Lepisosteus oculatus: one gene and its partners. The protein of the gene in region 1 purifies or fractionates together with the protein of each later gene. This does not show direct contact. Links are inferred from orthologs where the notes say so. Each region holds a gene or a part of one and is shown in the gene's direction. Other genes may lie near its edges.

Region 1 (8,085 bases):
GAGCATAGGGGGAACAAACAAACAGAATTTCATCAACAGAACCAGGAGCCAAAGAAAACAGTCCAGTCCAGCACTGCACAGCACCAAGTATTCTCAACCATCAATTTTATACACCTGGAATGAATAAACAATGACAAGAAATATACATTCTCATTTCTACTGGACTTACAGTGCTCTCAACTCAAATGAACAATACAGTCTTTTTTTTCTAGAATATGTTACAACACGCAGGCAGGGTTTCATGTGGATGTGTGGATTGGCTGTGCACAGATGCAGCAGTCTTGTAATCAGGGAGGTTTCTATAGTATCTGGCTCTTCCCATCTCCCTGCTTTAAGACTGTCGGCACAGCCACAGAAATAACACGGACTATAAAATCTTTTACACCCAAAAAAAAGAAAGACGACTGCACTTTACTGCCACCCAACATCAGCACATCACCGACGAAAAGAGGGGGGCTCACAGACCAAGCTGAATTGTGACAGTGTTATCCCACACAAAGCCATAATAACAAAACAGGAATAATAATCCATCGGTTAATAAATACAGTCCTAGAGGTTGTCACAGAGATCTTTTAATAATACAACTATTTGGATTTGGATTTGGGAAAGAAAAACAAAAGGCCCAGTAGCGGAGTCCAAAATGTGATTAAAGTCCAATTAAGCAATTAATGTTTTGGTCACACAGAATCACTGTAATGACCTGGACTGTAAGGTTGCCTTTACTTGACTTTTGAGTCAAAGACTTACAAACAATCCTGTATTAGTCTAAGAGACTAATTTGGTTCATTGGAAAAACAAAAAGAGAAGACAATAGACCCTCCACGAGCCCCTGCAGTAAAACCGCCCCTCGGTGCAGTGCTGGGCCAGGCCAGCAGGAGGCAGTCTAGTGCACCATGTACTCCTTGCGCTTGTTGAGCTGCACTTGGCAGAAGGACAGACCCCCCACCAGCAGGTAGATGGCAGCAGCGATGAAGCAGTTGTAGCTGACCTGGTCATACAGCCCGTATATCTTCTGAGGAGGATTTTTACTGCATGGGAACAGAGACAAAGCAGGTAAGAAAGAGCGATGCGGGGAGAGATCACAGGAATGACCACTTCACACAAAGCGGGGTGGGTGTGGGGAACAGGCTGCCAAGTTGTGTTACGGGTGCAGAACTCCTAAGTCCTTTCAGAAATGGCTAAACAAGATCCCCAGACCGATTAGCTACCTTAGCAAGCTGGCAAGCAGAGTGAACCGACAGGAGCTCCTTGTCTGCAACTTTATGACCTTACTGTATGCAACTCAAAGCATCTCAAAACAAATGCCTTGATGGTAGATCTCACTGCTTTCCAGGACGTTTTCAAGAATCCATCACCACAAGTCCAATCTGACCCCATCACCTCAATGCTGGACTGTATCTTTGTTTCAAAACGTGCAAAACCAGAGTGATGTTTTGCCAGGACACAGGAGGTTAACTCCTCTTCTCTTTCCAACAGTGCCAAGGGCTCTTTAATTACCAAGCGGACAGATCCCGCATTTAATGTCTCATCTAAAGGTCAGCATCTCCACCACACTAGGTTATCCTACTGAGCCACAGAAAAAAGCGCCACCTACTGGTCCAGCAATTACACTTACAGCAGCAAACCTTCTGTAGTGTCTCCCATTATTGGGTATTGTGCTTAACAGCTCAGTTTAATGAGAGCAGGCTACAAGGCTACTGCTTCCTTCAACTGTCTAACAGATGATGCAATTGTATAACAGGGTATTTGGGACGGGCTAGCTCATCATATTAATCCACTCACTCTAGAAGCATGTCATCTTCAGTGAAGGGCACGTCTTCAATCAGCACTGCAGAGTGGACGTTGAAGAAGATACCCAGCAGCAACTGGTGTGGAGGAGGACGAAAGCAAGACAGCAAGGTTAAACGCACTGGTTTGATCCGCCTATATCTGGAACAGGTACACAATACAAAACACTGCAAACAGCTGCCCAGTGTGTACAAAACACACAACACTGCCCGCCTAGTGACTTCCTAACACTGCAAGTCTCAGCTACCTGTATCCTCCTGCAGGCAGCTGACACTGAGAAAACAGGTCCTTGATTCTACACACTGGTTCAATCCATGAATTGGTTTCATTACTCTGCTCTCCTCCCCACTGAGAGCTGGTGTGTGGTGAGCATACTGGGGCACTATGGCTGCCGTCGCATCATCCAGGTGGGGCTGCACACTGGTGGTGGTGGAGGGGAGTCCCCATTACCTGAAAAGTGCTTTGAGTGGAGTGTCCAGAAAACCGCTATATAAGTGTAAGCTATTATTATTATTATTATTATTATTAATCCTTGGAAAAATGACATGTGGCCATACAGACATCACACACTGACTTGGTGCTTCTCCACTTTACGTGGTTGTCACCAGGCTGAGTTAAAGGTGTAGCCGGTCATCGTCTTGTCAGTGCGGAGCGCTAGTCAATCAGTTTAATTTGTGAGCGGAGAATAAAAAAATGAAAAACTTCAGCGAGCTGCTTTGGGCAATAATACCGACAACATGCAGCACTAAAACGGCCGCCCTCAAGCTCCACACTCCTTATCATCTTCAGATAACTGTGCAAACAGCCACTATCTTCCAAATTAGCATTGATCAATTAAAGACATCTGTGTACGTACTGAAATACTTCTAAGTACTCTGAGAGAGATGGAAAGTACTGAGGCCTGTGAGTGTTCACACTATAATTAGGTCCTCTGGGACGCCTTTCTGAAACACTTCTTCCTCCCCACTGGAGACCGTGCCACAGCTCCCAAGCCAGAAAGAGGGAACTTGAAACTGGACTCCACGGTCTCCGTAACACATTCACCCGGCCGTTTATCTTTGTGCAAAGGTTTTATGTAACAACGTGCAAAACGATAAAAAAAACCCCACAGAAACAGGCAGACAGACACAGATGGATGTTTCAGAAGCTGCTCATCTCGCAGTCACTATCACAAGATCGTGGTGTCACTGAACCCGTGACCCTGTCCCTAACACCGGTGGGACTAGAAGTAACAGACGACGGGATAAAGAAATGACTTGAACAATTGCGATTGATTCAAGTGCCATGCAATTAGCTAGCGTACTGAACGTCACCGCTCCCTGTCGCGTCTTAATCGTAGCTAAATGATGCTGAATACTGAAACACGTATTGGTAAGGATAACCTCCGCGGAGCTCACGACCTTCGATGGCTTCTGGATTTCCCAAAGGGAAGTGTTAATTACTGTGCAATTCACGAAACGAAACGAATACAAAACGTTTATATATCACATCTGTCAGAGCAGCTAGGAGACAGGCGTACAGAAACCGAAGTATAAACAGCATTTTCTCTACTATGAATAATAATAATAATAATAATAATAAAATGTAATTTTACCAGCATAATGACTCCCCAGATGCTGAGTACTATTCCGCAGGCGGCCAGTTTGGGACCGCAAAATAAAAGGGACGCCATTGCCTTATTGAAGAGACAGATGTCCGCTTCTTATTTGTTTATTTTGCGCTCTTTTATACTCCCTTCAAGTCCGGAATCCGCTTTTCATCGGCTATACTTTCAAACTGCCTTCTGTCGAAAGACAGTCGCCCGTCTGAATAAAAACAGACGGACCGCTGTGACCTCCTCTCAGCTGATCTGCACGGGGTATTCGGCCGTTTCCGGAGACACTCGGCTCCCACCGGCAGGACAGCTACCACTGTCTGAAAAGAGGGGTATAAAGGTAAGAAATATTCTTCGAGAACCCCTCAGGAACATAGTCTTTATGGAGAGATGAGGAAATAAATATTATACTTATTAGGCTGCAGCTTTTTCCAAACTTACTCAAATGTTAGGTATTATAGTGGATACCTTTCTTTACGGGACCATAAAGATACTTCCCTCCTCTTAGAAGGCTCCAAATTAGACGTGTCAATTTATGAAGCATAGGGTCACTATAACACATATTATGCAAACAGTTTCCTTGATGAAAAGGGAGCTAATACATAACAGGTTTAAAAACTACATATTAATGCTATATTAACTATTTTCAAAATAGATAGGATTATTTTACCCTTGGAGGACTGAAATCCTACTTCCCCCTCCTATTTTTCTGAATATGGCACAGCCCGGAGCGGTCATGTGACGGCAAAATCCGTCACCAGCCTGGGGGGGGGGGGCTGTGACGTCAGGAGGCCGACTCCGAGAACTGGCGCAAAATGGCTGAAACAAGTACGAACGTGCATGTTCCCAAAATAGTTTTTTTTTAACAAAGACAGATAGTAAATACAATCCTGCTACAAAGCACAGGGGCTTGCCCATCATCACCTTACGTATACTTTTAGACACAGCGCTAATAGGGCGTCAGTGGTTTAGAACAAGTATTCCCAAAACATAAAATATTATTAATGTTACGAAACTTCAAAAAGTATTATAAAAACATTTATTATTTACACTATTTGTAAAGTAAGTCTAAGATTGTGCCAACACGAATAATGCATTACGACATGGTGATTGACAACAATTTAAATGCACACACAATCGCGCCCAAAAACACAGAACGGTAAAATGGATACCGTGATTGACTTATTGACCATCAATATGCGAAGAATGGACAAATCACGGATCAGGCTGGGAGAAATTCTAACAACCACTTATAACAGTCTGAAGCCGCTGCTCTCTAATGCAGTTAAAATGCGTCTTGACTGACGAAGCCTGTGTCTAATAGAGTAAGGGCGGGGCGGGACTCCGCAGAATGAGTGTCACGCAGCCTTGGCCAATCAGCAGCCGAGAACCGCGGTTGTGGACCAATAGAAGCGCAAGCCGCGCGGGTGGCTGGGGTTTCCTGCTCGCGCTCTAGTTGCTGTCTTTTTATTTTAATTTGAGCAAAATTGGCAGAAATGGGCTCACTAGATGGGCTAGGAAGTCCGCTTTTTTCGTTGGCATGATCAAAATGGTTGTTTTCACCCCCGGGGGAGCGTTATACAGGTTTCCGAGGTCTGTACGTCTGTCATAATGATAGGAGTGAAGGAGGCCTGGGTATTGTTTTGTACTGAATGGACACAGAATATAGTTTAACCTGAAGCGCGATGCGACTTTCATGCCAGTTCTTTCCTGTAACGTCCACGTTGTAGAAAATAAAGTGTTTAATTTGTGCTTTGACATGCAGTACGGGGGGGGAAATACAGTGCACTTGCATTTGTAAAGCACAACGTTTTTAATTTCAGAAAAGAAAGCAACAGCAACATCGTTCTGAAGTTACACTGGCAGAGTGTATTTTGCTTCTAAGCTTAGTCAATGTAGTATCTGTTTGATTGTGTTTTGCATTGGAGGGCTCCCAGCATGTGCCACCGCAGTTAGATGATTTAGACCCTCTGCAGACCCCGGAGTGTTTTTATTTGTCCTTTCCAAGTATTCGGTGGGAAAAAATGACTTCAGCGTCGACCAAGGTAGGTGCTCTGAGAACATACCACCTTCTATTGCCCGTTTCCTTCAGGGGTATTCTTTTCAAAGCGCGTTTTCTTTAACGGAACGTCTCAAAAGCACAGTTTATTTAGCCGAAAACGAAAAATTGTGATGTGTTATCAGAATCTCTTTAGGGTGAATCTCGAGGCATTGGTAAATATTTTTTTAACTTATGCCGAGCCTTATTCTAATTCAGTTGGCATTTTACTGATGAAATACGGGTTACGTAGCTTGTACAGTGATAGAAGAGAAGTCCAGCGCCTTGGATTTAAACTCTGTCTTCCCGTCAGGAGTCTAGGGTCCTATAACCACAGCTCCGCGCTGCTAAATAGAGTAATGTATCACGGCGTTGTTGTAATCGTCTTCAAACGAGTCGGGAGTAAGCGGCTGGAGAAAAACGATACTTTTTATCCACATGACCCTGTCGGTTACTTCGGTTCTGTACTTTGAATGGCTGTTCAGGTGATGTCGCACTCCTTTTAAAACCCGAAAACAGGTCCCCACCCGGTTTCTTCTTTGAGGTTCTGATGCACGTCTGGCGTATTTACACGCGGGGTTCGGTGAGAAGTTGGCGAACTTCAGTTGTTGCTCGGAGGAGAGATGCGCAGTTCCCGGTGTCGGCCGCGCGGTGTCGCTGGTGGATCGTGGCGCCTCGTCCTTCCCTCTCCCTCCTCGTCCTTTCTTCCTTTATTGTACCTTGACGAGGTGTCGAGGCTGCGATGAGCTGGACGGTTCTTTATAGCTTCAAGATGAGCCCAGTGCGGTTTTGACAGCCGAACCCAAGGTGCTCTAGTACCCCTGAAGATATATATTTTAAATATTCTATTTTTTTTTTGTACAACATAGGTTCGTTTTCCCAAAGCAGTTAACTCCAGACTCCAAGTTGAAAAATCACGCGGGAAACAACGGCTGCCTGGTTCACTAGCTGAATGCATTTTTCGTGTTTCACTGTATATGAAGGCTGAACGGGCTGTAAAGATCTCTCGAGGTTGTTGCTGGTGATGCTGTTAACTCCTAGGGTGGCTTTCTCTGATAACTGGACATGCCTCGTCCAGTTGGACAGCCCTCGGCTCTGCTTCTCTTGTCATTCCAATGATGTAGTAGCTTGAAATATTTTTTTCCTCTTTTTTTTAACAATTGTGTGGAAAGGGTTGGAAACCAATTGTCTAACTCTGTAATAAGGCTCGTCTAACTCTGTAATAAGCTGGACGTTCCCATCAGTTTTGGGTGGCTTGCACAGACCGGTGCTTCCTAATGAACCTGAAGGTGTCAAAGTTCAGAGGGAGCTGTTGGCTTCACGGGTCAGTCCGGTTTGGGGCACCTGCCCGTGGAAGAATTTGCACTGCCTTTCTGTGTGCCTGATGGTCCGTCTTTTGCAGGTGGGGGAGATCTTCTCCGCAGCAGGTGCTGCCTTCACCAAACTGGGGGAGTTGACTATGCAGCTGCACCCGGTGGCTGACTCCAGTCCGGCTGGGTGAGTCGCCATGACGCCATTGTACACAGGGCTGACTCCGGCCTCGGCCTCCCCATCCTGTACCGAGGATGCTGCTGCCGCCACCCTGTCTTCCAGTGTCCGCTCCAGAGCTCGGCTCGTGTGGGTAAATGATCTGCTTCATTCCCCAGCTCTCCTTCAGATTGACCATATAAGGCAGTGTGGGCCGCTCCAGTTCACCAGAGCTTGGAGTCCTGCGGAGTTTATAGGTAGTATTCACTTAGCATGTGGTTAGGACTTAAGAAAACAGCTCAGCTGACTAATTATCCATTTAGCTCGCTTAAGTTATGACCAAAGGTGTAATGAAAACCAGCCGCCCTTGGGAGCTGAGGGTGTCCATCTCTGGAATGCGTGTGTAGTTGCAGGCTGCTTTCTGTGCATCCCCAGTCCACTTTAAGACCGTTAAGTGACGAGCTGCCACACACTGAACTCTCCTCATAAGTGGTTTTCTCTTGAGTCTGACGGAATCATTCTGCCGTGTCCAGCTGTTTTGAAGGCTCCCCCCCTTCCTTCATCGCCGACGGTGAGCTCTTCCTGCTCGCTGTGGTGGCTTTAAGCCATGTGTTGTGCCAGTTATTTCCCCCTGCGGGGCTCACATGTGCCCTCCCCCCCATGCAAATCCCTTTTAACCTCTAATGGATGGGTCTGTGCGTGCTGGGCTGTGAGCTTTCTGCTCAGCTGCTGGTATGTCTTGGAAGGGCAATAGATCTTCAGCCCAGCATAATCGGTGGGTGTGGGGTGTGCCGAGCCGAGCCGAGGTGCGTGAAGGCCCCCCCTCATTCCACTGTCTTCATTAGAGCTCGTCGGAAAACCCAGCGAGAGGGGCTGCCCCATAGTAAGGCATCTGTGCAGAAAACGAAAGCCTGCAAGGGATTCTGTTTTGTTTCAAAACAAACAAACAAACAAACAAACAAACAAACCAACAGGTGGTGGGCAGATGAGGAAGGGGGTTGTATACCGAAACGACTGGTGTGGAGATACTTAAGGAAGTTGAAGGGATTTTCAACTTTTGACCAGAATCATCCGGCATAGCCTGCCCCCGTGTGAGTAACCGATGCCAACGAGAGATTGGCCGTCCAGTTCGCCTTTCACAACAACGGGTGCCCGTGGCCGCTTTTTCAGAAACAGTTGGTGGAGGTGTTATGGGTTA
Region 2 (7,824 bases), on another chromosome or scaffold:
TAAAAAGATACTTCAATACACACAATAGTGAAAATAACTCCTTTGTGAAGCAATTCCTATTAAAGTTTTAAAAAAAAACCTACGAAAGATTGAATTCTCCTGCACGAACATCCAACAGTGAACCACTGGAATTAATGTATTTGTCTGTGTGTATATCTGATCCTTTTAGCTGAATTCTTGGTTGACCAAGACCAATTTGTATATCTCCAATGCTTTGACTTAATGTTTGGTGTGAGTGTTTACTAAATATATATCTTTGTTGCAAATATGCAGTCTATGTGCTTTGTGCAATACAGTGCTTTAGTAGAGAGGTTTATAACTGATAAGGCTAAATATATTGTTTTCACTTGGGTTCTGTGGAATGTACTGTACTGTAGACTACTGTACTGTAGTCTGGTGGCCTAACATTTGTCAATTTTAATACAACTTAAGTGCTGTACATAAAATGACTTGGATGTTAATTTGCATAACTTGGTCCGTTCTTAAAACCAGATCTCGCATACCTAACATAAACTACAGTTCAGACTACAATAGACTTGAATAACTCAAACAATGCAAAATCCTGTACAGTATATACTGTATAAAATAATCTTATTTATGAATTTATAGAATATATATAACTGTGCTTCCCCCAATGATATCATGTTCTTCCCATATTTATGTAGGGTTCCAGCAGGTGTTCAAGTTTCCTTCTACCTCCAAAGAGATATTGGCTAGGGTTTTTGGGCTATTCTTAAATTTACCCTTCCTCTGTAGGCTTCAATTCAAACCAATCCTCTTCAGTGTAACTTAGTGCTTTGATTCACTGTCCTGCTGAAAAGAGGTGTTTTTTTTTTTACCCTGGCTTGGATTCTTTTTTTTCTTCTAGAATTTACCAGGAGCTTGAACTGTCTTCCCCCCGAAAAACGTCCTAGTCTCTGATCATCTCCACAATCTAATGCTACCATGACCCTGCTGGACAGTTGGGATGGTGCTGACTGGGTGATATGCTGTTTTAGAACTTACAGCAGACGACATACTATGGTAACACTATGCATTTTGACCAAATTCCATCTAAGGTTTTGTTTCATCTGAGCCCAAATTCTTCAACTACATGTCTGTAGTATCATTTACTGTACATGTTTTGTTGACGTTTTTTCAGTAATCACTTTTCTTCATGTATGAACACTGACCTGCATATCAGAAATCTGCACAACTTTCATAGTTACTTTTGACTTCACAATGGTATCCCTAACCAGTTCCCTGCTTGACTGCCTCTTCAGTTTGGAAGAGCTACCTGATCTGAAGACTATGATACACATTCCACTTCTTAATGATGATCAATGACTTTTAAACTTTTTTGTAACCTTCTTCTGATGTGTGCTTCATTACCATTTTATCACTGATGTGTTTTAAAGGTTCCTTGGTCTTCATGGTTGATTTGAAGTATCACTGTATGCGTTGTGGCTTAAAATTCAATTTCTAACTGAAGAGGCTTACACAGACAGATACATTTATTTAATTTAACCAAGCTGAACCACTTTGATTACATAATGCTTGTTAGAGGCCACTTGTTTAATTTTGAGATGTTTCAAAGTAATCAATTACGCCAAAAATGATTTGGGGTTGCCACAGCCCAGGGATTCAACTGAAAATTGTCTAATGTTCTTTGAAAATCTAACATATTTATATATAACATGTATATATATATACATTTTATATATAAAAATGTATTAGCTTTATCAGTATGATGGAAATTTTTAATATAAATTAATATTTGAAAGTGTGATCAATTCCATCTCAGATGGCAACATAATATGGACATTTCATAGGGAAATGAATACTTTTGCCAAGTATTCCATTATATATTGTATATTCATAAAAGTATGTACAGTAATAAGCATGTTCTAAATTCTAAATTAGCATGTTAGCAGTGACTAAAGTATTGTGTTTTTGCTTCTCCTTATCATGGTATTAACTTCAACTTGTTCCTTTCCAGCTTGCATTGAGGCAGTTCCCCACTTCATCTCATTTACACTATCCCTTCTATCTGAACATCTAACTCGGAAAAAAAAATATTAAAAATTGGCCAATTGTTCAATCTAGCCTATTTTGTTGCTGTTAGCCTCACAGCCACCCAATTTGGACCAGCCAGTTGTGTGCTCTTCAAGACTCAGCTACCATACCCACCACCCAAGGGTCCTCCAACAACCCACTGTTGAGCCAATGCTCTTTTAACACTTAACATGTCGAAGACAACACAGCCCATGATAGAGATGTTAGGCTGACAGCACCACATCACTACAAGCTCCTGGGAGGCCACAGGATTTACTTCTTCTATTGTATGTTTACTAATCCTCCTAATTTGGTATAATCTGCGAAAGTTAATAGTTTACTAACTATACCAGAATCTAGTTTATTGATGAAACTTAAAATGATCAGCGGTCCCAATACAGATCTCTGTGGCACTCCACTAAGATCATTATGCTCTTTAGCATTTATACCTTATCTGTACTTTGTTTTCTATCTACTTTATTAACCAGTAATTAATCCAAATCCATCTATCATCTTAAATACCTAATGCCTGCAAATTCAGAACTAATCCTTTATGAAGAACTTTATTAAAAGCTTTCTAAAACCCTAAATGTATATTATGTGCTATGGTTGTATTTGTTACTGCTGTTGCTTGTTAAAAGAATTTAAACAAGTTAAATAGGCAAGACCTATCTTTTGACCCATGGGGATTTTCATGTAGAATCCATTTAAATGATCCTCTAGTTCACTTCTCATACCCTTATACAGTATATAATAAAAGTAAGACTTATTGATATATAACTACTTGGCTTCGTTATTTACACATGATCTCAGACCTTGGCTATGATGACTTCATCATACAGTATGTAATAGATAATCATATTTTTTATGTAACTGTATACAGTATGGCTTGGGTGGTGCAGTAGCGCAGTGGTTAGTATTGTTGCATCACAGCAGTGGGGACCTGGGTTAAATTCTGGACGTGGGATGCTATCTGTGAGAAGATTTTATGTTCACCTCATGGTCATGCAGGCTTTCACTATGTGCTCTGGTTTACTCCCACAGGCAAAAGTCATATACTGGTAAGATTTTTGGCTTCTGGGAGAACTGGCCTTGAAATTAGTGTGTGTCTGTGTGTGCCCTGCGATGAATTGACATCCTGTCCAGGGTGTATCCTGCTTTGTGCCTGTTGGTTGCTGGGAAAGGCTCTGGCTCTCCCACAACCCTATATTGGATAAAGGGGTTAGAAAACTGAGCAGCTGATGTACTGTATATGGCTCATGAAAAATGGTGAGGAAACTAAAGATAGTAAGTAGTAGAAGCCTTAAGGTTTTAGTGTGGTCTGGACAACTACAGTACACTATTTGCTTAAGGTTTTGATTAAAGCAAAGGTGACATAAATGATTCTCACTAAACTTCAGACCTGCATAGATTACAGCAGATTTCAAATTTCTAACTTCAATACATTAGGCTTTTGTGACATCTAGTGGTCTGTTTAACATTTTTCCTGCGCTAAGAAAACTGTGAAATTATTATTCGATAGACGTATGACCTTATCCAGGGCGATTTACAGGAATAAATGCAAGTACTATTTAAATGTCGGTACAATGATCACTGCAAGAACATTACAAAGGTGTCAAATAATCCAATAGTATAATAACAGAGCTAATACAAATCTAAAAGAATCTAACACACATTGAATACAACAAAAACAAAAATTATTAGCATTAAGTGCTAATTCTATGTCAATATTAATAAAATATATTAATGAGACTGGGCGAGAGTATGTTAAAGGACCTGTTATTTTTTCAATAATTCTTAACTGATTAAACGTCGTTGTGTACGAGTTTTTTTTATTATACTCCTGCTTTAAATTCAAAATATCTCGACACTGCAGTGGTACGGATCACTGCTACTTCGTTCTTCCAGTAGGACATATTTATTGAACAAACCGAATATTCTCACATTAATTCGGTAACAGCTTCAGTTTCTCCCTTTCCACTAATATGTATACTACGTTTACTATTTTGGCATTTGACACATCTTGGCATAGCTCTTTAGATATATTGTATTAAGATTTGTTGTATCAAAACAACTACGACTCCAAGAAATAAAATACAAATAACTAGCGCTTAAAAAGTAAAATCACACAGGGCGCAAGCTCATTTGAAAGATCACAAGTACAGTATCAACACCAGTTCTGTGTTTTAAAATAGATGACATTATGTGTGTGCATTTTTTAAAATACTAGGCTAAGCCTTTAGAATCGAAATCCAACTCAACGTCTGGAAATATATTTCCTTTCTGTCCGAATTTTCTAGTCAAAACCGGACTAACTTCTCGCGGTGTTACGTTGCCATAACTCCGCGAGATTTAATTATATGTATAAGGGGGCGGATGCTACGAAATGTACAGTCAGATGGTGACGTATTTTATTATTTTAACTTACAGTAAAAATCAAAATTGAGTCAAGATTAAACAAGTATAGGAGCAATGTCAGACGAAGAGATTCCGTCAACATCCCGGGAGCCTGAACCTGATTCGGAGGAGGTGAGGGAAGGATAATGTGCAGTATTTTTCAGTAAGCTTCTGTGTAAAAGAAGTAGACATTGCAGAACCGAAGTTTGCTGTTTTTTTTTTTTGCTTCGTTTTGCATTTGGGGAATATGGCGGGAAGGAAGCACGCAACATCTGCAGACAGATGTCAGTCTGTATTTTAGAAGATACAAAAACAACCTATTATATTAAAACAAAGCATGACTGACCACCTAACCCCTACAGTTAGTATAGTAGCCCAGGTACCGATCAAAAGAAATACAGGTGGGCGTGAAAATTGAAAACGACACTCACTGCGTCTTGCAGAGAAGCTGGTACCTAATACAGTACCTCAAGAATACAGTAAAATGGCACTGCGAGAGAAAAAGCCTGCTGTCGAATAGGAAACCGAATAGGTGTTGTGTTGTATAATTATTATACCTGTTACATTAACAGACACAGTCCAGTTTTAAGTAATTGTTCTGTACATTATAAATACAGACTTAATAGCAAGTTTCCCCTTTCATAACAGTCAAAATTCACTAATGTAATAATGTACTGAAGAATGCCCCCAATGGTAATTCAGACACACAAAATATGCTGTTTCGGATGTTTTGATTACAGAATGAGACAACTATATTTATTTAATAAACTTAGGAAACATGAAAAAGCCATATACTGTATGCTGTATACAGAGAAAAACTGAGACTTATTTTACTATTCTAAAAAACTCCAATTAATATAATATACATTGATAAAATAATACTATTATTCATAAACATATAGGTCCATATACAGTTTTGGTATAAATAACTTCACCATCTAACCATGCTACTCATACTTAGGGTATTATTACTAAATTAATAGTACATTACTTCATTTATATTGAAAGATGTGCAGTTTATTTTAAATTTTAAAACTTATATCCAATACACAAACAAAGCAACTAAAATAGTCAAAGTGACAAAATGTCATTTACATACAGTAATCATTACATTTATCATTTGATGTACTCTGTGCCTTTAGAAAGAGGATCCACCTTTTCAACTCAAACCTCCCCCCAAACTGGTAACAAAAGTAGAGGCAGACGTTGACCCTGAATATGAGGAAAAGAGGGTAAGTAATTCAATGCACATACTGTATCATGCATTATTATTTTGCTGTCTGATATATTATTAACAATTTTCACCCTTAATTGTGTGACCTGTTCTATAATACCATTCAAAAGAAACATGTATTTCAATTCTAGATTTGATGTTAGCTGTTATAGATCAAAATTGCAATTGCATTGTAATTTATTCAGATTTAGTTTCTAAGATTACAATAATAAATGATGAGACATGGGAACTCTACTGAACATGTACAGAACATATTTCACTTGTGTTGGTGAAATGTTCAAAAGAAAAGATTAATGGTTCCTCTCTCATTGTAAGTTTCAAATTTTGGTTTAATGCACTGCTTTTGTTTTAAACTGGTAATAGTAAACAAGTAAACTTTAACTTACGTGCAAATAAGAAACACATGCAGAAATATACTTCAGGTATATTTCAGATATTACAAACTACACACAGGATTTAAAGTATTTTTTTCTTCTCTCTTTTTCCTTCAGAAAACAGATCGGGCTAACAGATTTGAATTCTTATTGAAGCAGACAGAGCTCTTTGCACATTTTATTCAGCCAGCAGCACAGAAGTCTCCTACATCTCCACTGAAAGTGAAGCTGGGGAGACCTCGCATGAAGAAGGATGAAAAACAAAATCTGCTCTCCGTGGGGGAGTAAGTCATCAATAAGATTGTTATTTGAAATAATTTGTACCACTTAATACAGACATTAGTACCATCTGCATTTATATTTCAGTGCTTACTTGTATCACGATTCCACTGTGTGTATGAGTGCAGTGTACCACTGTGGTCTCCGTCTGTATTATTTAAATGGTAATGAAATACAGTTCTTCCCATTAAACCAATATTTGATGTTGTTTTATTTTTCACTTTAAATTGCCTGGGAATACATATATATTAAATATTAAATGGTTTTTTTTTGTGTGTGTAAATTTCAGTAATCGTCATAGACGCACTGAGCAAGAAGAGGATGAGGAGTTGCTGTCAGAGAGCCGAAAGACATCAAACGTCCTGGTCAGATTTGAAGAATCACCATCTTGTAAGGCACAAAAAAATATTGAATTAAGTAATTTTACTTGAGCTGTCATGATCTTTTATAGCTTGGCCAATACATTCAATTTCATGATGCTTACAGATAAAAAAGCTACCATTTTAATGGCTATATTTAGCAGGCGTATCCAGTAATAGATTTTGTATTAAGACATTTCTAATTGTAATGCTTTGCTAAATGCTCAGATTTTATTGTTATTTCAAATATTTTGTTTTCCAGATGTTAAAAATGGAGCACTGAGGGATTACCAAATTCGAGGCCTGAACTGGATGATATCCCTATATGAAAATGGAATAAATGGAATTCTGGCTGATGAGATGGTATGAACTACAGGAGATAATTGAACTAGAAAAAATGGGCAATTTCTGAATTAATGATGTTATGGCGAAATTGCCATTATAATTAGTTACACTGAAAAGGAATTAATTTTAAATTACTATCATATTTACAAAATGTTTGAATTAAATAGTCTGGAGCTTACGTAACCTAACATAAGATAACCTAACCCATGTAAGTTCCAAAGTAGAATATTAATATAATAGCTAATACTAATATATTAATATAATAGAATATTTTGGAATTCATTGTCATGAGAGATTGCAACATTTTTATTTTACCCCTCTCATATTCCTGTATACAGGATGGTCTTAACATTTGTGAGAGTATGGTACAGAGAACCATCACAAACAGCCAAATTTGCATACCTGTATACTGTAACTTAGTTCACCCCTTTATTGTTGCATAATGCACTACAGTACATAGTATGGTTAAAAGATAAAGGTAACCCTATCTCATACACTATGATAATTAAAATACTACTGAATAGGCCATTAATTAAAATAATATTGATCAACAAAACAAACAACAGTAATCACAAACTTCATCCCACTCTGGTTTTTGTTTGTCAAAGATCCCATTGGCCAAGCCAAATCACAAATAAGTGACATTTTGAATGTTAAATTCCTAGGTGTTGAGAACCTACTGTAGTTTGTGGAGATGAACAGAAATACTTTGTAAGCAGAAATACATACTATAGGCTCTTGACTTTCTAAAGCCACATGCATTAGGCACAGGCTGAGCACTATGGTTCAAGTGTTGTTAGTT
Region 3 (8,257 bases), on another chromosome or scaffold:
AAAGTGACAGTGTCACGTTTTCATAATTATACAGCTTTTGCCTAGCAGTATTCACGAGCAACTCCTTTAAGTCCCATAAAAAGTCTATAGATTTTCACAAAGTTTTTCCACAAACCCTTTACATTATCTGCACCCAGAAATTGCTGAAATGAAATTTTGGTCCTGCTTGGTTTCTCTGTTCAGACGTGCGGCTGAGATACAGTAGCACCCTGTAACCTGATCAAAACCAGCAGGGCTGGGCCTGGTCCGTTTAGCAGATGGTCAGTAGGTGGCACTCTTCCCTCTGGGCAATTTGTAATTAGTGATTCAATGTGATGACCAGGGACACCGGGTTGTAGAAAGTGGCACTGGATCTTCTGATGTAATTTTAAACTGTTTTAAAGAGAAGGGATTTTAACTCTGGGGTCCTGGCTAAAATTTCCACTGTCTTATACAATCTGGCTTTCCTGCAGAATCCCCTCAGCTCAAATGGTAAATGAATTGCACAGTTCTGACTGATGTGCTGTGTAGTGGTGCTTCTGGCCCACAGAGGCTACCAGGGCTCTGTTCCTGAGTGGTGGTGGGCGAAGTGGGTCCCCTCCTTCATGCAGTGTGCTGTGGGATCCTTTAGGATGAGAGCTGCTTGTTGCAGCCTGAGCACAGCAGAGGTCTGGAGCCGACAGGGTTTGAAATTTAAATGTCGTTGTGCCCTTCATTCTGTAAGCTGGAAACACTTTGGAGGTTCTGAGGCACAGTTCGCAGTGTCAATCAAAGTATCTTCAGCCACTAAGATATGTCACCAGTGGTTTTCTAAGTGGTCTTCCAGGCTCGTGGTCTTCTCAATATTACAGCCCCTGATCTGGTGGTGCTTGCAGCTCTCGGACCGCAGGTTTGTTCTCCGGCCTGTTCGGAAAGTCCTGTGCTCTCTGAAGCCTTTCACCAGAGCTCCCAGGTGTGCAGTGCTTGCCTGCTCACTGGGTACCTCACACCCTGCTACAGAGACGGCAGACACTTAGATAGAGAGAAGATCAACAGTCAATTATCTGGGAGTGGAATGATTGGCAGCTGCCTCCTCTTCAGCAGATGCTGTTGCAGTGCTATATAAATCCAAGTTTTCAAGTACCATTTCATTTCCACTCCAAACCCAAGTTCAGCGTTTTCAGATTTTGTGAATAGTACTAAGCGGCTCCTCGTGGGATTTAGATACACATTGTTTCCCTCACTTCTTTCCCTCACAAATCTTTTACTGTGCATGAACTGTAGCCTTCTAACACAGCAAGTTAATCATTTCTGACTGGCAAACTGTTAATTACAGGCTAAAAGAGTTGTTTCCTCTCGCCTATTGCAACAGACGCTCCCATTTCGGCAGTTTCGGCTGGAGACAACTTGCAGCCTCACTGACAGTGTTATTGTCCTTTTCATTGCGGCGGGTCACGGAGCAGGTAAAGCTGGGAAGGCAGAGGAAGAGCAGACATCCTCTGGACACAGAGGTGAAAAGGGGAGAGCAGGGATTGCTCCATGTTTTTCTAGAAGAAAACGGCAGGAAAGGGTGGACCAGGGGTAAAAGGGGAGGGGGTGTGGGCACAGTCAGCGCAGCGCCGGGGAGTGTCGACCATGACACAGCAGCCCCCCAAGTCCCTTTCCCCAAGACAGACTTTGAAATCCTGGAATTGGACTGTCTTTTGGGCAGCAGGAGCAACAGGGATCTGGTCTGGGGCCGACCGGAGCACCAGTGGCTACTGGAGTGCAGTGACCAGGGAGGTCTTGCCCTTCATCAGATGGGGCTGGGACGATCAATCTCTGGAGGTGTCTTCTTTCACAGAGGGAACTCAGTCAATGCGTGTGTGGACACAGGGGCGCGGTCTCCTCTTTCCCTGCTCAAAGACCTTTCATGGGCCCACCCACCTGTTGCCCCGCCCAGGCAGTGTCCTCAGATCCACTGTCCCGCAGCCTTCGCCTGCCCGAGGAAGACGTCACGGACTGTCTCCCCATGGTGTCAGAGGGATGGAGAAAACATCTGGTCGTCTTGTTTAGCAGGACACAGGGTAGCCTACACCCTCTCTTGGACTGTTTGGAGCCTGGTTTCGGTTCCCTTCCTGTCCTTTCTAGAAAATGCAGGCTTGACAGCAGGACCTAGCGGCTCACTGTCCATGGGGAGGCCACCAGTTGTCTCTTCCTATGTGGCCCACTCGTGGGTCTGCACCCACTCTTTGACCATTTGGAGTGTGGCTTCGGCACCCCTGCTGTCCTCTGTAGAGGGCACATGCTCTGGCAGCAGGGTCCACAGCTCATGTGAGGTGGGGAGCATTCACAGTTCTGCTGGGCGATAATCTCTATGGTGCTCTGGGAGCAGGGTCCCACAGCCAGTGATCGCATGAGGGCCTCGTCCCAGTGACGTGCTGGGGTGCTGCTGGACATCGTCTTCTGTGGAGCTCTGGCAGCAGGGCCCTGTGGCAAATGGGAGCAGGGCTGGATGTCACCCTCTGTTGCACTAGGCACAAGGGAGCAATCTTGTAAATGCCTTATCTGTGCCAGTCCATTGCTCCCCCCAGCTGCTTTGCTTTGGCTCTGTCTGAGCAGCAGTTGTTCTGCTGTGTTCCAGGTTTCGCCTACAACCCAAGACAGGGCATCCCACTCTTTACACCAATGCAACACAAGCTCTCGTTTCAGCAGCGGCATTACGCAGGCTGGAGATGACTGTCAGACTCACTGACAGTTTTATTGCCCTTTTCATCACAGCGAGGCATGCCACTCACGGAGCAGGTCAGGCTAGAAGGCAGAAAGAGAGACATACTCTGGACGCAGAGGTGGGAAAGAGAAAAAGATCGAATTGCTTCCTGGTTTTACAGGGGGAAATGGTGGGAAAGTGTGAACCTGGAGTGAAAGGGGTCTTGGGGACAGTCCAACGCCAGGGGGTTGCAGATATATACCACATGTTAAAGGCAAACTGCAATCCTGATTTTTTGGACCAGTTATTAAATCTCAGTAACAAAATAAATTAATTGATGTTGTAAAAAACATTTTTATAAATTTCGAATTAAGCCCAAAATTGTGAACTTTGTGAAAGCACTAAATCACCATGTTGTTGCAAACTCGCAATCAAGTTTCCACGGGTTGTGATGTGATGCGGCCCTTTCTGCTCGCTAGTCGATGTAATGACTAATGTAAATCATGTACTGCATACAGATCACGCTGCGCATACCTGGAACTTTAATCTATTTTGTGATGTAAATATGAAATTTTACAGGTTACAGTGTACATTTGACTTTTATTATGGTTTGAAATGCACTCATCAATGCTGATTCTAACCACAAAATATTAAAATAGCTTTGTTATTTAGCTAAGTACCAGTGTTTTCAATTTCATTTTTACAAATAAAATCACATCCAGGCCTCACTGCTGTTGCACAACAATGTCTTAATCAGGTTAGCTCTGATTTTTTATTCCATGACACATTTTTTACACCACCTCCTGAAGTGAAGAAATGATTAGGGGTGTGCTGTATGATGGCAGATTGATAACCTCAGTGCAAGTTTTTGGAATCAGTGTGGCACATCTCTGCTTATATCAGTAGGGCAAAACTTTCCTCTTGGGGGGGCACATTGCTTGTGGGATTTTGATCTACCTCAGATTTATTTCCACGATCAAGCTACATATTATCCTAATTTAATTAATTTAGCATATTACCTAGGTCTTTAGCTGTTGATGATTTGAAGAGATTTAGAAAATCTGTTGGGTTATGGTTCTTAAAACTATAGTAATATACCTATGAACGTCAATAGGAATCCTATTGGTTGCCTAATGGTTGCCTGTCTGGGTGTTACAGGCAACCATTATATCACCAATTTCACATCACGTCAACAGTTAACTTTCAACAACCTCATATCTAATTTGTGGAGGAGTCAGATCCTAACCCAGGAAGCACACACTCACAAAAGGGGTAATCTCAAAGAAGCCAATTAACTTTCCAGTATGCTTTTGGGCTGTGGGAGGAAACCACACAACACCCCAGGAATTGAACTCTGGGCCCCAGCACTACAAAGTAAACCCCTGCACCACTGTGCTACTGTTACCCACAGTTCACAGATTATTTAAAAAAAAATGTCAAATATCCTTCAGCCCTCAAGAACTATTGTTCCCTTCTTTGTATCAGTTGCTTAATTGATCAGGTGCTTGAACAAGTGTTTTTTATCTTTAAATAACAAATTTAGATTGACCGATAATATTTTTCCCTCACAAAAGTTTACAATAGGGCAATCTAATTCTTAATTTATTCCTTGTTTTTTGTTATTCTGTCCAAATTTTTGAATGATCAACACAACGAAGCTAGAGCAACTGATTTAAAATGGGTCTCTCAGAAACAGTCCAGCATTAGATTTCTTGTAGCGTTCTTGAAAATGAAAACACAAGAAATACAAATGGGTACAAGCCATTTGGAACTATTTTGTTATAGCAAGCAGTAGTTAAGAAATCTACAGCTAAGTGAAAATCGGGATTTTAGAAATTGTAAGACTCTCAGAGATACAGAACAAGTTTTGTTTTGTTTCAACACCAAACTTCTCGTTTACAAGGTGCCTTTCACGGCAAACCATCTTTAGACATTGTCTAACACATACATACAATAATAACAGACAGATAGAAAAAAATTCCCTAAAAAGGCAGGACTTTGAGAATGTTATAAACCTTTTAGTAACTAAATATTAAATCATTGATACAGCACAACAATGAATGAGCGACTGACATACAACGCCTCTTGTCTCTGTACTCGAATCTTGCCCTTATGGCTGTTTTAAGGTCTCGCGAGACTCTTCTTCTTCCTCCGTAGAGGAACGGCCGCAGTGACATCTCGCGATGCTTAGCAGTTCAGCCCGGTTGGTGGGACAGTTCCGAAAAGCCGGGCAAGGTTTCTGATCCGCGGCGTCGTGGTGGTGCTCATCTGTCCTGTGGAGTGTGTGTGCGTGTGTTGGGGAGACAGAAAAGAAAAGAGCTGCCGTCAGGGAAATCTTTTTCTACGCATAATCGGTTTCAGGAGCCCCTTCTTCGGATTACCGAGTACGAGGCAGTTGAGGACTCCCGCGGCTGGGCGCTTTCGAGAGAGAAGAGTGGAGGATCCGGAAGGAGAGACAAAGCATGTCCGAGACGGAGAACAACAACGTGGAGCAGGAGCCGCGGATGGAGGCTGAGCCGGAGGGAGAGGAGGTGAGCGGAACAATAGCAGCACGGAGAGGGGCCACTGGGCTGGCCAGCATCTTGACATGGCCAGGTCCGAAGTGCCTGACGTCTTTATAGCGAATGCAGAACTTTTGACTGATTTTACTTTTCGATTTGTTTCTGGTTTTGTTTTTTTTTTGTTTGTGTTGTGGGTTGGTAGTGGGTTCCATTCTTTTTCTTGTTTCTTTTCTGGATTTTCAACCTCGTTGATGTTTCGGTTGAAAAAACTGGGTGTTTTTTTTTTACTTTTTTAGTAAACCGGCGTTGATAGGAAATAAAGGGACGCTTCAGCTGTGCGTGGTCGTGATGGTGTCCTGTTTGAAGTAGAAAAAAACCCAATTGTGATTATTGTGAGGTGCTTCGGTACTCGGCCTGCCTTGGGGATGTACTTGAGCACTAAACAGTTTTCCGGATATCGAGTGAGCCTGGAAATCGGGAGTTTCGAGGAACCCCGTCCGCGTTGATGTGTGTTTTTATTTTTGATTCTCGACTCTTCTGTCGTGAAACGAAGTCCTAAAACGAGGCGTGCGGCAACTTTACGTGGCTCCCGAAAGGAGCGCCTGTGTGATGTTTTGTGAGCGGAGGGACCGGTGATGTGCGTGTGAGGGGACTTCAGCTCCCCAGCCCGTCAGTTTTTGGCCTAGTTGCTGCTCAGGCTGGTTGGTTCCAGTCAGCCGCTTCGCCGACACCACAGCGGCATCGCGGGGAGGGAATCCGCGGAATGAATGAGCAGCGGAGCGGACGAAGGCGTCGAGGACCCCTGCTTGTTTTGTGTCCGTCCGAGTCGGTCTTTCACCCCTGCTTCTTGATACCAGGCGAATAAAGGTTCGAGACGAGCACCTCAGTATTTTCGACCAACTTCTGAAACATTTTTTGGGGGGGTCTGAAGCTTCCCGTTTTTCCCTCTCAGGGCTGCGAAACCATGACGTCACCATCAATACAAACCGCCCACTCCTGTGTGTCTGTGCTCTTCCGCGGCCGAGAGAGCCGCGGGTAACCGGGTTGAAAGCTAGTCAAGAAATCGGCGTCAGCCTGAAGTTTTCCTCTTTCACTTTTCAGCGTGGATTTAACCTCTTGTCCGCCTGCTGACGCAGGTTCCCACTCTGACCGTGTTTTAGACACCTAGTGTCCAAACGTAAAATGTGAGAGTTCGCTTTTGTTCAGTAACTTAGCTCTCATTCGTTAACTGGCATTATTAATACATTCTGGAATAATCACGAATAGGGCTTTGTACATCTGGCAGACGTATTGCACGGGTTACAGATCTAGGCACATTTTCAGCTGTTGCACTTCAGCTACAATAACAAGGATTGGTAAATGTGTTTCAGCCTAGAAGTAAAGTTTCTGTAGCCGTGTACCAGGTCAGCTCTCCATTTTAAAGTTTTTAACATTGTATTTCGATCTGCCTGTCCCGAAGGAGGAAGAAGCATCTGATCATGAGGATGGCAGTCAAGTGGAGACCCCCATCCTAAAACCAAAGGAAGAACAGGAAATGTTTCCCGACTATGAAAAGAAAATGGTAATGTCTTGCCACAACCTTTATTTTTAGTTAGCACTGTCACACCACATAGTCTTGCCTTCAAGAATATCTTTTCAAGATTTTATACTTGAAAAGCCATTTTTTTTAGTTTGATCTGTGAGAGTAATGTCTTAGCCAGCTCCTCTGACTTAACCAGTCAAATAGTTATTTTTGGATGCAGTCCATTATATAAATGTTTTAGGTGATATTTAGATGGTGCATACCTGGCACGTTTAGACATTTTGTCAAGTGGAGGGCACTTGGGTATATCCTGGCCATGTGAATGACAAGTTTAAATTTTTCATAATTCCAGTGATGAAAGTACAGTATTTTTAGATAGTAGTATAAAAGATGCTACTGTGGCAGTGTTCTGATATGGCAACAGGCAAGCGGTGCTAAAGAGGAAAACTCTTTTCTTCTTTTTGTGTTTGCAGAGTTAACAGCAGCTAAACAATGAAAATAAGTGTATGCTGGATTTATTGTTGTTAAGGTTGTGGTTTATAAATACTGACACATGCTGGTGTTTTATTCCCTTCATTTAATGCCTCTTTCGGAAAAGGCGGTGGTTTTTAACTATCCTGGTAGGTTAGGAGTGACCAATGTCTGTATCAAGTCTACCTACTGGGTGTGCTCTAAAGAAAGGTGCAGATTGCAGTTAAGAGCCAGCCATGTTAAGTGGCTGGGTTTACAGAACTGGTTGAAAAGCAGCGGGGTAGGCATAATTTCTTTGCTTACATAATCAACTTTGCTTTCATGTTTATGTTCATTGCAGAAGGGTATTTTAATAAACACCTGTGTAACTTTACGAAGCATCAGGGGAACTTGTTTTCTGGTGAAGCAGAGCTATCAGGCTGGATGCATCGTTTTTGCACATTTTACTGAATACTAAAGCTTCTGAGGGAGATTTTATACTTGCTGCACAGAGACAGTGTGTAAATATTAACAGAGCTGTAACAACATGATCAGTAAAAGCCTTTTTTCTATTAAAGTCACTGCAATATTCTGTTAAGTGTTTTAAGACATCCATCAAAAGACTTAAGTTTAAAAAAAATTGGGTTTAATTCACAGTTAAAAGCATAAAGAATAGCATTCCTTTCATTTAAAAAAAATCAGTGTTTGTTAATTATTTTATTCGTATAGCCTCTTTTGACTTCAAAATTCTCTCAAAGCCCTCCAAATAATGCTCTTGCAGACTTCAAGACAAGATCTTAACTACAATAAAGGTTTGAGGCTTGAGGGTTTTGTTACTATTTACGTGCTAGTTATTGACTACCATGACTACCAGAGCATCAGATCAAACAGATTTGAAATCACTCAACACCGAGGGTGTGAGTTTTAAGAACTTTGAAACTGTAGCTACCTATAACTGCTACATCGTTGATGAAATACAAGATTTGTTTATCAAAGAGTGTTCCAGTGGAGTCAACACCATGTCTATCTGTGGACGGTGTGATCAAATTCAGTCCTTCTATGAAACCCTGTGTTCAGATCTCAGAAAGTAGGTGCTGTACAGAGGGATGGGAGGTGATCACAACGCTGCTGGTTTTC

What was found. The genes of interacting proteins can lie anywhere in the genome.
Region 2: the proteins of chromatin complexes subunit BAP18 (region 1) and smarca1 purify together in Homo sapiens (affinity purification with mass spectrometry; 4 studies listed by BioGRID and IntAct, with this or other methods). This does not show direct contact. The link is inferred for Lepisosteus oculatus from reciprocal best matches to the Homo sapiens genes BACC1 and SMARCA1.
Region 3: the proteins of chromatin complexes subunit BAP18 (region 1) and smarca5 purify together in Homo sapiens (affinity purification with mass spectrometry; 5 studies listed by BioGRID and IntAct, with this or other methods). This does not show direct contact. The link is inferred for Lepisosteus oculatus from reciprocal best matches to the Homo sapiens genes BACC1 and SMARCA5.

The regions. Positions count from the first base shown.
Region 1 is NC_090698.1:6,956,925-6,965,009, forward strand, and holds the start of chromatin complexes subunit BAP18, read left to right. Parts: upstream 1-4,775; 5' UTR 4,776-4,975; exon of another isoform or gene 4,976-5,281; 5' UTR 5,282-5,406; coding exon 5,407-5,427; intron 5,428-6,822; coding exon 6,823-6,917; intron 6,918-8,085. Other genes in the region: ribonuclease kappa-B, read right to left, coding at 884-1,028, 1,783-1,865, 3,383-3,460. UniProt on the Homo sapiens protein: Component of chromatin complexes such as the MLL1/MLL and NURF complexes.
Region 2 is NC_090703.1:42,609,801-42,617,624, reverse strand, and holds the start of smarca1 (probable global transcription activator SNF2L1), read left to right. Parts: upstream 1-4,399; 5' UTR 4,400-4,506; coding exon 4,507-4,563; intron 4,564-5,573; coding exon 5,574-5,663; intron 5,664-6,156; coding exon 6,157-6,323; intron 6,324-6,607; coding exon 6,608-6,708; intron 6,709-6,939; coding exon 6,940-7,040; intron 7,041-7,824.
Region 3 is NC_090696.1:27,528,408-27,536,664, reverse strand, and holds the start of smarca5 (SWI/SNF-related matrix-associated actin-dependent regulator of chromatin subfamily A member 5), read left to right. Parts: upstream 1-4,832; 5' UTR 4,833-5,109; coding exon 5,110-5,178; intron 5,179-6,607; coding exon 6,608-6,709; intron 6,710-8,257. UniProt on the Homo sapiens protein: ATPase that possesses intrinsic ATP-dependent nucleosome-remodeling activity.